Sus scrofa: one gene and its partners. Each later gene encodes a partner of the first gene's protein in a complex. Links are inferred from orthologs where the notes say so. Each region holds a gene or a part of one and is shown in the gene's direction. Other genes may lie near its edges.

Region 1 (3,643 bases):
CGCTTGCCGGATTGCTCAGTGCAGCACTGTAACAATAACAGTCCATAATGGCGATATTATTAACTGCCTTGTACGTATTATTGATTTACTCTTTGTTCTGCATCATTATCCTTTCACCAATGAGTTTACTGCATTATTCTCACATACTTAGTCAAGCACCAAATTACAACGAAAGGGCAGCTCCTGTAATGGCATCTAATGGAACATTGCATAAGCGATCATCACTGCCTCCTCTTAGGAGCTGCCTCCAGCCAATGAGCCTTCTGCCTTCTTGGAAAGTGCTCAGAGCAATTACCAAGTGCACGGGACCTGGCCATTCTAAATTTTTCCTACCAAATGACTGTTTTGCCACCTGCCCATGCTGCAAAGCCCAGCCAGGGAGTCAGCCTCTGTCACTACCAGCTGGAGGGGCACAGGGACCTGGGCTGAGCCTTTTGCTACAGGCCCTTTACTGGAAGCCAGCGGGTTCCCTCGCCACATCCAGTCATGGGGTTAACTCTTGCACAAGGGAGCTTACTCCTGATTGAACGTCATATATATGAATATAAGTGGCCAAAGTATAGCCCAGTGTCAAAATTGGCCCAGGAGCCCAAAGGTGGTGGGAGGCTCTGTTGTTCAGTAGTTCTGGAAGATGGACTCTTCTCCTCGGGGTAAGCCATCGTCTCCAGAAACAGAACTGCCATGACACAGGCAAATTTCATTCCCACCCCTTCCTGCTTTTCTCCCCATCTTGAGGTAAATTTCTTTGTCTCTTGTGGAAATCTCACAACCCCTAAGGAAGCAGCTGTCTGGGGAGGCACAGCCTGCGGCATGATCTCAGATTCCATAGGAGTCCCAGCCCCATTTAGCCCTGAGTGATGCTCACTTACTGTAAAGTGTTACATGCCCCCATTGTCGGAGGAGTTATGGCGGAAAAATGCAAAATTTCCTTTTTACTGCTTATGGCCAGCAGAGCCCATAACGTGTCAAGCTGCACATTAGCCACCCTGATAAAAGTCCGCTTTCTTACACACAAAATCATCGTTTCAGCAAGATTTGTTATCTCATTACCTGATAAGCTCTATGTCATAAACCAAGACTCATTCGGTAAATCTCCCGGGAGGACGCTTTGTGGGCAAAAAGGGAGAGATATGAATCTGCAGGGGACCTGATAATGCAGCATTTAAGCACAAGCATAATGTCACTTATTGTTAAATGCATAAAACCACTTGGCCAAACGGTTGGGCTTTTAATAGGATTTTGTGCAGCATCAGGTGAGAAGCCATATGCTTTTCTGTTGAGGAGGCTCTGAGCGCCTTCCGGCCCTGCTGCTATGCCTCGCCGCCCTCTGGGGAAGGGAGCTGGGCTTTAACAAGGCCTCTTTGGAGACCGTGATGCTTCTCTGCAGCTGTGCGCTTCCTCTGTCTCGCAGGGGTTGGGGGGTGGCGGTGCCGGCTCACCCCTGGGCTGACCTCACTTAACTGGCCTCTCTCATTCAGGCACATTGTGGTCTGTGGACACATCACTCTGGAGAGCGTTTCCAACTTCCTAAAGGACTTTCTTCACAAGGACCGGGACGACGTCAACGTGGAGATCGTCTTTCTTCACAAGTAAGAGGTCCCTGTTCTTTCAAGACCCTCCTCCCAACCAGGCCCAGTGAGGGAGGGGGACTCCTGGGGTGTCTGTAGGAGCAGTGATGTAGGGGAGGTCTCAGGGTACAGTGATGTAGGGGAGGACAGGGTGGAGATGGATCAGCTCCCATTTGCACTGGCCTCACTGAGAGGATGACATGGAACTGACGGAAAGAGAAGCAACACCCTCCTTCAGAGATGAGAGCAGCACCTGTTCCTGTGGAGGCGATTCTGGAAGATGACAGCGGGATCCGTTATGGGTCAAACATGTCATTACTCGCCCCCCAGCTATTTGGATCTGTGTGGTCCAGATGTGTCCAGTGTCTGATATGGATGACTAGCTGCATGGCGTGGGTTCTTAATGACTGCAGGACTGACATAGGGACAAAGCAAGGCACAGACATAAGAGGAAGCAAGGTGCAAGGTAATAATAATAGAAACAACAACTGACGTTCCTGGAAACCTTCAGTGTAGGACATGGTCCTGGTCCCCACGCATGCCATCTCTCCTTAAATCAATAGAGGGAGGAAAAAGTATGGGCTCCATTCACAGTACATTCTAAATCCCGACTCAACCAGTTACTGAACAAGCTCCTCAACCTCCCTAGGCCTCAGTTTCCACATAAGATGGGGAGATCAAAGTGGTTTCTATCTACCTTCTTGGGCTATTGTAAGAATGAAAAGAAGTAACCCATTCAAAGCACACAGAGCAGAATCAGGCACACAGTAAGTGTTCAATAAATGTTAGCTATTATCGTGAGAGAGAAAATACCTTAGGATGTACAGTGAACTTAAGAGGTAGATTTTACCATGTTTGTTTTATGGGTGAGGAAAGCAAGGTATCTCTCTCTACTCAGTGCCGTTGAGATTCTTTGCCCGATCCCCTTTTAGGTAAAAGGTAGTTCGCCACAGGGATGGGGAGTTGGGGGGCTCTGCCATGATGACCTGGGTGGCACTATCTTCTTGTATGGACATGGGGCCATCATGGGGCCAGTCTTAGCCTCACCTTGCCAAGGCACAAAGCTCACATGTTGCTGTTGGTTCCATACAAGGTTGACACCCAGGACTCAATTCTGCTCTGAGATCCCACTGAGGCTGGCTCCCCTGTAGCTGTTCTGTGTGTCTCCTTCCTTTCCTGAATAAGATACTGGCCACCATGTTGGAGCACCAGCATTTTTGTTCTTAGCAGTGACTTCTGCAAGTTCTGAAAAGACCAGTCAGGCCATGGGCACCGGAGCAGAAGCCGTAGATCCAATTCATCCCTTAGCTATTGATGACCAGCTGTGGGGCGCATCCTATGCTGGGTGTTTGGAAGGTTCAAGACAAATATGGTGTATAGAATGGCATATGGGTCCTGCCCTCATATTGTGTGAGCATTTTAAGACAGGCATGTGTGCAACAATTGGAGCACAGCATGGGTCCTGTGTTAACTGACTCAAGTCAGTTTCATCAAGTGGCAGAATAACATAGGGGATCTGTACTGGGGAGAGACCACCACTTCTTGTGTTACCAGGATGGGGGGGCTTCCTGAAGGAGGCCTGACTTGTAATGGATCTGGAGGACGGGTTGGATTTGTACAAGCAGCTGCTTTGCTCTTGCCCATTGCTTTAATCTGAATCGACAAGCTGGCTGCTAATTCTTCATTTGCTGGGATTCACCTCTGGATCCCCAGCACCTACCAGTGCCAGCCTTGTAGTAGGTGGCCCAGGTAATTAACTTCCCAAAGACTTGGATTAATAACACACCTTCCTCTAGAGTTGTTTTGAGGTTTAAATAAGTTACTAGTCATTAAGGGCTTAGAATGGTGTCTGTCACATAGTAAATGCTCAAGAACATTAGCAGTTATTATTACTAAAGACTACCTGGATGTTAGGCAAGGGTTGATTAACTCAGTCCTTAGCACCTAGTAGGTTCTAACTAAATGTCATCATCTCCCAGTACCTAACAGAGTACTTAGCACAGTACCTAACAGAGCATAGGTATTTTTCATCTCTGAAAGAATAGGTCAACCAGTGTTTTAATCCTTGTCCTGCA
Region 2 (3,643 bases), on another chromosome or scaffold:
ACTCAAAAGTTTGTATTTTACCAGAAGATGGTGAGAAGGTATTGACAAAATATATGCTCTAAAATAATGCGGCTCAAATGATGCTGTAAAGATAATGGATTTTTTCTTGTTTGCTAATACTGAAACACCTTGGTTAAACATCTGAGAGCAGAATGAGATGAAGCACCAGACTCTAGTTCCAGTTGTAGAGCTGAAAGAAATATCAGCTCTTAGGAGGTCCCATCATGGCTCAGTGGTTAACGAATCCGACTAAGAACCATGAGGTTGTGGGTTCAATCCCTAGCCTTGCTCGGTGGGTTAAGGATCCGGCGTTGCCATGAGCTGTGGTGTAGGCCGCAGACACGGCTTGGATCCCTTGTTGCTGTGGCTTTGGCTTAGGCCGGTGGCTACAGCTCTGATTAGACCCCTAGCCTGGGAACCTCCATATTCCCGGGAGCGGTGCCAGAAAAGGCAAAAAGACAAAAAAAAAGGCAAAAAGACAAAAAGACAAAAAAAAAAAAAAAAAAAAAGGCAAAAAGACAGTTAACAAACCCGGCTAGGATCCATGAGGATGCAGGTTCAATCCCTGGGCTTGCCCATTGGGTTAAGGATCCGGCGTTGCTGTGGCTGTGGTGTAGGCTGGCAGCTGTAGCTCTGATTGGACCCCTAGCCTGGGAACCTCCAAATGCCACAGGTGAGGCCCTAAAAAGCAAGCAAGAAAACTGGAGTTTCAGTGGTTGAGAGCAATATCTGAGCAGAGCTACATGCTTTATTTGTTAATTAATAGTAGGAGAGGAAAATATCAAGGTCCATTAGAAATTGAGGATGAAAACGACCTTTTGTGTTGCTTCCCTTTGTTGATGGACAGGCCCTCAAAGACAGAGTATATTATGCTTTCGGTTTGCTTATAGGTTGTAACTAATTGTTTATAAAGTATCTTTAGACTATAATGACTGAAAGTTATTTGGGGCCTATTTTTTTGTTATTGGAATACTTTCTGTAATTGCGCCAAATTAGAAATCTGAAATAGCTTAGCAATTTCAATTTGGTTAAATTAGAAATTAAGTAGGTCAGAATTAGATTTCCTATCAGCATAATGCCATCTCTCTATTAAAAAAAAAGGACTGTATTTCAATGTTCTGTAGAATAATAGGTTTACTTTCTGTGTTCTATTTTGTTAGTGCTCCTATATCCCTCCCTGTAAGAGAGAAAATCAGAAGAACTTGGAAAGTGTCATGAATTGGCAACAGTACTGGAAAGATGAGATTGGTTCCCAGCCATTTACTTGCTATTTTAATCAATTTCAAAGGTAAGCCAATGTTTACATGTGCATATTAAAGCTGTTTGTAGCCTCCGTAGGTGTTGTATTAGTAAATCATAAATTGTGCACGCTTGACAAAGTATCTGAGATGGAGATGGTCTCGCTCTTTCTGGCATCAAGTTGGAGAAGCCCCTCCTTGCTCTACAAGATGGGAGGCATGTCGAGAATCTGTGGCCAAAAAAAAGAACTTGTGCCATAGAGTTTACCCTCTGGCTCCACTAAGAAAGTGCCTTTAGGTAGGAACATTGTACACTGGAAATGTTCCCTGAGAATTGGCGATTAATGCAATGGACAATATGCAGATTGATCAGCATTTTGGAAGACATCAAATCTTACCGTTTTTTCCCCTTTGTGTCCTGATGAAGTGTCCATGAAAGGAGTTCACACCATGAAAACTGTAATTGACTTAAAACTCAAGTCATGCCACATAGCAGTGGCTCCTTGCACCAGGATATTTCAGTGCCACCCAGATTGTTCACAGTAATTTGTTCATCAAGCATTTATCCAGTATTCTCAACTGCTTGCTGTTCCGCAGTTCTGTCTGACTTTCTCTTCCTCCCATAGCCTCTCTCTTAGTGAATGGTACTGTCGTCCACTCATTTACCTAGTCCAGAAACTTGGACTAATTCTTAGCTCACTTTTCTCCTTGACACTTCATAATCTATATGCACCATCCCATTAATTTCATGCCTGCATTAACTCCTCTCTGCCTTCCCTTGCCCCTGTTTTTGTTCAGATTCACACTGTTGCTCAGCCCTATTAGCATAACAGTCCTTTAACCAGTTCTTCTACCCTTGCCCTGCACCCCAATCCCTGTCCAAAGTATTCTGCACATCACTGCCAAAGCGATCTTTCTAAAACATGAGTCCGATCAGGTTACTCCTCATAGTCTTCAGAGTAAAGTCCAAACATCTTGGCATGGCCTGTGTATCCAGTATCTGTTGTTGTGTAACAAACCACCCTAAACCTAGTCACCTTCTGCAACAGTGATTTCTTATTTTTAATGATTCTGTGGGTTGGCTAGGAGATTCATCTGCTGGTCCTTCCTGGGCTCAGGTGCAGTCAGATGATGGGGGGACTTGCCACGTGGTCCACGGTGGCCTCCTCCCTCATGCCCAGCACATGGTGCCAGCTCAGCTGAAGCGCACTCCTTCCTCTTCCACCTGGCCTCTCATCCCCCAGCAGGCAGGACTGCCTTCCTCACAATACGGCAGCCTCAGGAGAGCACGTAAAGAGAGCCAGACCTTGTCTCTGGAGCTCACGTAACATCCCTTTGGACATGTTCTACCAGTCAGAGCAAATCATGAGGCTGATCAGATTCACAGGAGGTTGAAATAGACTCGGCTTCCTGCCAGAAGAAGCCACAAAGGTTTTGTGGCCACATTTCATCCAGTTCACAGCATGCAAGCCTCCTCAAGCTCCCACCCCAGATGCCCTCCTCTCCAGCTTTATCTCCATGCTTATAGTCTGTTCAATAGCCACTCTTATCCATATGAAGTTCCAAGAATATCTTATATGTTTATTGCCATGTGTTTTAATTTGCTTCTCCTGCTTCTTGACTGCCTTGTTCTGCCTTCGCCTCTGATATTACCATCTCTGGATGGCTTCCCTTGATCTTCAAGTTTGATTTATTTGTATACCACTTAGGATGCCATCTGCTGCAGGACAACAGAAAACTGACTCAAAGTAGCATAATAATTCAGAAATTGATTATTTCATGCATTCAAGAATGCACAGGTGGACCAGTAGTAGGGTAGTTTGATACAGTGCCTTAACATCATTAAGAATGCTGCTCCTTTCTACATCTCAGTTTTACCTCTGGGTGGCTCCCCTCATGGATACAATATGGTGGCTGTGGTTCCAGATGTCATAGCCAGGCACAGCAATATCCAAAGCCAGAAAGCAACCTATCCCTCCTGGTATGGAGTTCCCATCGTGGCTCAGTGGTTAACGAATCCGACCAGGAACCATGAGGTTTCGGGTTCGATCCCTGGCCTTGCTCAGTGGGTTAAGGATCTGGCATTGTTGTGAGCTGTGGTGTAGGTTGCAGACGCAGCTCAGATCTGCATTGCCGTGGCTCTGGCATAGGCCAGTGGCTACAGCTCTGATTGGACCCCTAGCCTGGGAACCTCCATATGCCATGGGAGCAGCTCAAGATAAGGCAAAAAGACAAAAAAAAAAAAAAAAAAAAAAGACAGCGACCTATCCCTCCTGGTATATTTTTCTTGAGGTTAGGAAACCTTTTCCCAGCTTCCCATAGCCAGCCTCTCAGGTATCCTTGTTTAGAAAAAGTTTCCTTGTTTGCATCTAAATCTCACAAGAAAGAGCAATCAGAAGCTGTCT
Region 3 (3,863 bases), on another chromosome or scaffold:
CCTGGATGACTCCCAGGCCCCTGCCCCCTGCGCCGGGGCCGCCCGCCCAGGGCGCCTCGAATCCCAGCGCCCGAGGGCAGTGCAGCGCACGGGCCCTGCCCCCGCCCCCGGCCTCACAGCCCCACTGTGAGGTCAGCACCTTCCGATGAGTTCCGTCCAGAGGTGTGCCGCGGGGCGGGGGCTGGACATGGCCCCCTGTCCCCAGCCTGACTCCTGCCTGCTTGGCAGCCCGCTTGGCCTGCTGTGTTTGTCCCTTTTGTCCATCCCTGCTGCAGGTGCCTCCTCTTGTCCCCAAGCCCCGCCCCCAGCCAGGGCCCCTCCCTCGTCCTGCTGGCCACCGGGGTGCGGGGTGGCCTCTGGGGCCATCCGCTGGCAGGTGACGACAGACCCTTGGCCTTGTGGGCCCTGTCTCTGCAGCTGGAACCTACTGCGAGTGCAGCCTTGGCCTCAGCCGCGAGGCCCTCATTGCCCTGCTGGTGGTGCTGGCGGGTGTCAGCGCCAGCTGCTTCTGCGCCCTCGTCATTGTGGCGATGGGCGTCATTCGAGCCAAGGGGTGCGTGAGCCCCGGGGTCAGGGTGGGTGGATGAGGGCCTCTGAGCTACGCTGCCCATCCCAGGCCCTTGGTCTTGCCGGGGGAGGGCCCTCTGCTCCTGGGCGAGGTCACCAGGGACTTGGGAATGGCGTTTCCCAGGCTGGACTGGGGAGAGGTGTGCGGAGCACTTCTGGGCTCTTGGAGGCCACCCCCACTGTTCCCGGACTCACATCTTATCTTTGCTCCCCAGTGAAACATGCCCTGGACACATGGACAGCAGGTGAGTGACCCCAGGGGAGGACCCTGAGGGTGAGCTGGGGCCCCTGCTGCTGGCCCCGGGGAGGGTGGCTCGGATACGTCAGGCTGCCTGACCTGGACCGTGCTGTGCAGGTTGGTGGGGCACTTTGGGGTTCAGGAGGATCGCATGGACCTGCACACGGTGCACGTGGAGTCCCACCTCATGGACCCCGACCTGGACGCCTCCATGATGCCTCCCCTGGAAGATCAAGGCCTCACAGCTATCACCATGGACTCCGGGAACCTGGAGGAGCCGCCCGCCCCCACCACCTGAGTAGGGCTTGGGGCAGCTCAGGGAGGGGAAATAAATAGTATTTAGTGCTTCTGAGCCTCCCCCTGCTGCCCCCGGGAGCCCCTGTGCAGATGCCTTCTGGGCCGTGGGAGGGGTGTGGGCACACACACTCGGGTCGCCTCCTTCATCCTCAGTGGGGTGCCCAGTGCCCGTGCTAGGCGCCTCCTGTCCACCTTCCAGGGTAGGGAGCCCCACCCCTGGTCCTTCCACTTCCTCCTGTCGTGGCCTCAGCCCGGCTCGTTCCTGCTGCTTTGTCCCTGAAGCTGGCAGGCCCGGGTGGGCCCTTGCCACCCACCCCCACCCCAGGGAACCGATGCAACTCCAGTGACTCCAGAGGGAGCAGTGTTTGACAGGAGGATTTGGGCTGGTGCCCCTGCGCCACCCACAGTCTCCTTGAAGTTCCGGGAGAGTCCTTGGAGGGCAAGGTTGGGCAGGGGTGACAATGCCCCCGCTTCTGCAGGTGTGCAGCCCTCTGCCCCCCTCGCCTGTCCTCCGGGCTCGGGCTGAATAGGGTGCTTGTGCCCCAGCAGTCATTCGCCATGGGACTGCGTGTGCATGTGTGCGCCAGGATCACGTTGTGGTGCCAGAGACAGGCGGAGACTGGGCTCCCTCCAGGTCCCATTCCGTGTGTCCATCCCTGAGTTTGAGTTTGGTGGGGGGGCGACGGACGGTGTGGTCCAGTTGCTCAGGCCTCGCCAGGGTGTGGGGTGGTGGACCACGCCCATGGTCAGGTCAAGAGAGGGGTGGCTTCTTGTCAGTACTGCTGCTGGAGTGGAGCCAAGGAGAGCTCAGAGCTTCGGGACAGGTGGCTGGCAGTGCCCGGCGCTGGCTGTGTGCCCAGCCTCCGCCCTAGGCGCGGGACCAGCTGTGGGACAGGAACTGCCTGCACTTGGGCCGGAGAGTTAATATTTGTGCCGGCGCCCCGGGGACGGACAGGCTCCAGAGACGCGCCGGCAGCTGGCCTCCAACTGGTGCCCCCATGGGCAGCCCCTCCTTTTTCTCGCGGCGGCTGCCGCCGCTGTGGCTACTGCTGCTGTCGCCGTGGCCAGTCTGGACCCAGGCGCTCCCAGCAGCCACCCCCTCCGGACCCCCGGGCGCCCCGGACTGCCCGGAGGCGTGCGTGTGCGCGCCGGGCGGCCAGGCCAACTGCTCCGGGCGCGCGCTGCCCGCCGTGCCGGGGGGCCTGAGAAAGAGCGTGCGTATTCTGCTGCTGGACCACAACCGCGTGCGGGCGCTGCCTCCCGGCGCCTTCGTGGGCGCTGGCGCGCTGCTACGTCTGGACCTGCACGAGAACGGCCTGCGCTGGGTGCACGCGTGGGCCTTCTGGGGCCTGGGCGCGCTGCAGCAGCTCGACCTCAGCGCCAACCAGCTGGAGGTGCTGGTGCCCGGCACCTTCGTGCCACTGCGGGCGCTGCGCGACCTCTCGCTGGCGGGTAACCGGCTGGCGCGCCTGGAGCCCGCCGCGCTGGGCGCGCTCCCGCTGCTGCGCGCGCTCAACCTGCGGGACAACGAGCTGCCGGCGCTCGCGCGGGGCCTCCTGGCCGGCCTGCCCGCCCTCGACACGCTGCGCCTGCGCGGCAACCCCTGGGCCTGCGGCTGCGCGCTGCGCCCGCTCTGCGCCTGGCTGCGCCGGCACCCGAGCAGCGCGCCAGGTGAGCCCTCGGGAGCGCGGGCGGGGCCGGGCCCTCGCCGCCGCCGCCGCCGCCGCCTGACGCCGCGCCCGTGTCCCGCAGAGGCCGAGACGCTGCTCTGCGTGTCACCCGGGCGCCTGACGTTCAGCCCCTTGGCCGCTCTCCCCGACGCCGCCTTCAGCCGCTGCGCACAGCCGCTTGCCCTGCGCGACCTGGCCGTGGTCTACGCGCTCGGGCCGGCCTCCTTCCTCGCCAGCCTGGCCACCTGCCTGGGGCTGGGCTCGCTGCTCACCGCCTGCCGCGCGCGCCGCCACCGCGCCGCCGCCGCCGCCCGCCACCCGCTGAAGAGACTGCCGGAGCCCGGTTCCGGCACCGCCTCGCCCGCGGACCCCGGGAGCCCCGCGGCCGGCACCGCCCAAGCGTGAGCGGGCTGCGGCTGCCCTCGGCTCTTGCCCGGTCCCCTCTTTCACACTCCCTGCAGGCAACAAGCGACACTGAGCGAAAGTTTCGTGACATTCCTTTTGGCATCACCACTGCACACACCGGGTCGGGGGTCGGTGCGCGCCGGGCCCCTGGGGCAGCGGGGCAGCGCGCGGTCGCGCACGAGGAGCGGGGGAGGCACGCGCCTGGACACGGGAAGGGCTGGGCCTGTACAAGGCGGCGCGCAGGGCTGAGGACAGTCCCGAGCTAGCGTCTGGGGAGGCCCATCCTGGGCAGCAGGCCAGAGGAGGCCAAGAGAAGGCTCAGCCCTCGCGGAGTCCGGAGAAGGTGCGAGGCAGTGGGGAGCCCGAGCGCGCGCCCCTGGGAGGCGGCCGCCGGCTGGCAGGGGAAGGGGGGGGTCAGGGTTTGCAGTGGGCAAGGGCAGGGTCCAGCGGAGGAGGGTGTGGGCAAGAAGAGGAGAGAGGTGGAGCGGAGGCTGGGAGGTGCGGGCGCTGCAGGAGGAGGCGACCCCGCCAGCTGGGGCCAGGGGCCCCCACGGTGGCGCTGGTAGTGGCTGGGGAAGGATGGGGCTTCAGTCTCTGCTCCAGGCCCCTCCGCCCGGGGGCCAAGGTAGCCCGTCTCCCCTGCTCAGAGACCCCAGGGCCCTGCCTCTGCCGGAGTGCCCTGCAGC

The links.
Region 2: the proteins of KCNMA1 (region 1) and KCNMB4 are in contact, whole or in part, in a cryo-EM structure (PDB 6V22), measured with the Homo sapiens proteins. The link is inferred for Sus scrofa from reciprocal best matches to the Homo sapiens genes KCNMA1 and KCNMB4. Residues at the interface, in NP_001154824.1 of Homo sapiens: Phe98, Phe99, Leu102, Phe103, Leu106, Leu107, Arg109, Thr110, Tyr113, Leu114, Thr116, Val117, Asp238, Leu240, Trp241, Leu244, Pro327, Trp328, Asn330, Gln332, Leu367; in NP_055320.4 of Homo sapiens: Thr11, Glu12, Ala13, Glu14, Lys16, Ser17, Leu20, Leu24, Ile34, Phe35, Cys38, Trp39, His105, Thr164, His165, Val183, Leu186, Ile187, Leu190, Thr191, Ala194, Leu197, Ala198, Lys200, Ala201, Met204.
Region 3: the proteins of KCNMA1 (region 1) and LRRC26 are in contact, whole or in part, in a cryo-EM structure (PDB 7YNZ), measured with the Homo sapiens proteins. The link is inferred for Sus scrofa from reciprocal best matches to the Homo sapiens genes KCNMA1 and LRRC26. Residues at the interface, in NP_001154824.1 of Homo sapiens: Pro78, Cys79, Asp80, Ser81, Arg82, Gln84, Trp88, Ala92, Ser93, Val96, Thr97, Glu155, Trp158, Met159, Ser161, Val162, Trp165, Cys206, Leu226, Leu227, Phe229, Gly230, Leu231, Phe233, Ile234, Asp251, Phe252, Pro256, Phe259, Val260; in NP_001013675.1 of Homo sapiens: Gly204, Cys205, Gly206, Cys207, Ala208, Arg236, Leu237, Ala249, Phe250, His252, Cys253, Ala254, Gln255, Leu257, Arg260, Asp261, Leu262, Val264, Val265, Tyr266, Leu268, Gly269, Pro270, Ser272, Phe273, Ser276, Leu277, Cys280, Leu281, Leu283.

What each region holds. Positions count from the first base shown.
Region 1 is NC_010456.5:79,560,432-79,564,074, reverse strand, and holds part of KCNMA1 (calcium-activated potassium channel subunit alpha-1), read left to right. Parts: intron 1-1,478; coding exon 1,479-1,589; intron 1,590-3,643. UniProt on the Homo sapiens protein: Potassium channel activated by both membrane depolarization or increase in cytosolic Ca(2+) that mediates export of K(+). It is also activated by the concentration of cytosolic Mg(2+).
Region 2 is NC_010447.5:34,589,490-34,593,132, forward strand, and holds part of KCNMB4 (calcium-activated potassium channel subunit beta-4), read left to right. Parts: intron 1-1,160; coding exon 1,161-1,288; intron 1,289-3,643. UniProt on the Homo sapiens protein: Regulatory subunit of the calcium activated potassium KCNMA1 (maxiK) channel. Modulates the calcium sensitivity and gating kinetics of KCNMA1, thereby contributing to KCNMA1 channel diversity.
Region 3 is NW_018084833.1:724,619-728,481, forward strand, and holds LRRC26 (leucine-rich repeat-containing protein 26), read left to right. Parts: upstream 1-1,294; 5' UTR 1,295-2,100; coding exon 2,101-2,773; intron 2,774-2,854; coding exon 2,855-3,177; 3' UTR 3,178-3,256; downstream 3,257-3,863. Other genes in the region: TMEM210 (transmembrane protein 210), read left to right, coding at 146-275, 418-553, 783-812, 923-1,103. UniProt on the Homo sapiens protein: Auxiliary protein of the large-conductance, voltage and calcium-activated potassium channel (BK alpha). Required for the conversion of BK alpha channels from a high-voltage to a low-voltage activated channel type in non-excitable cells.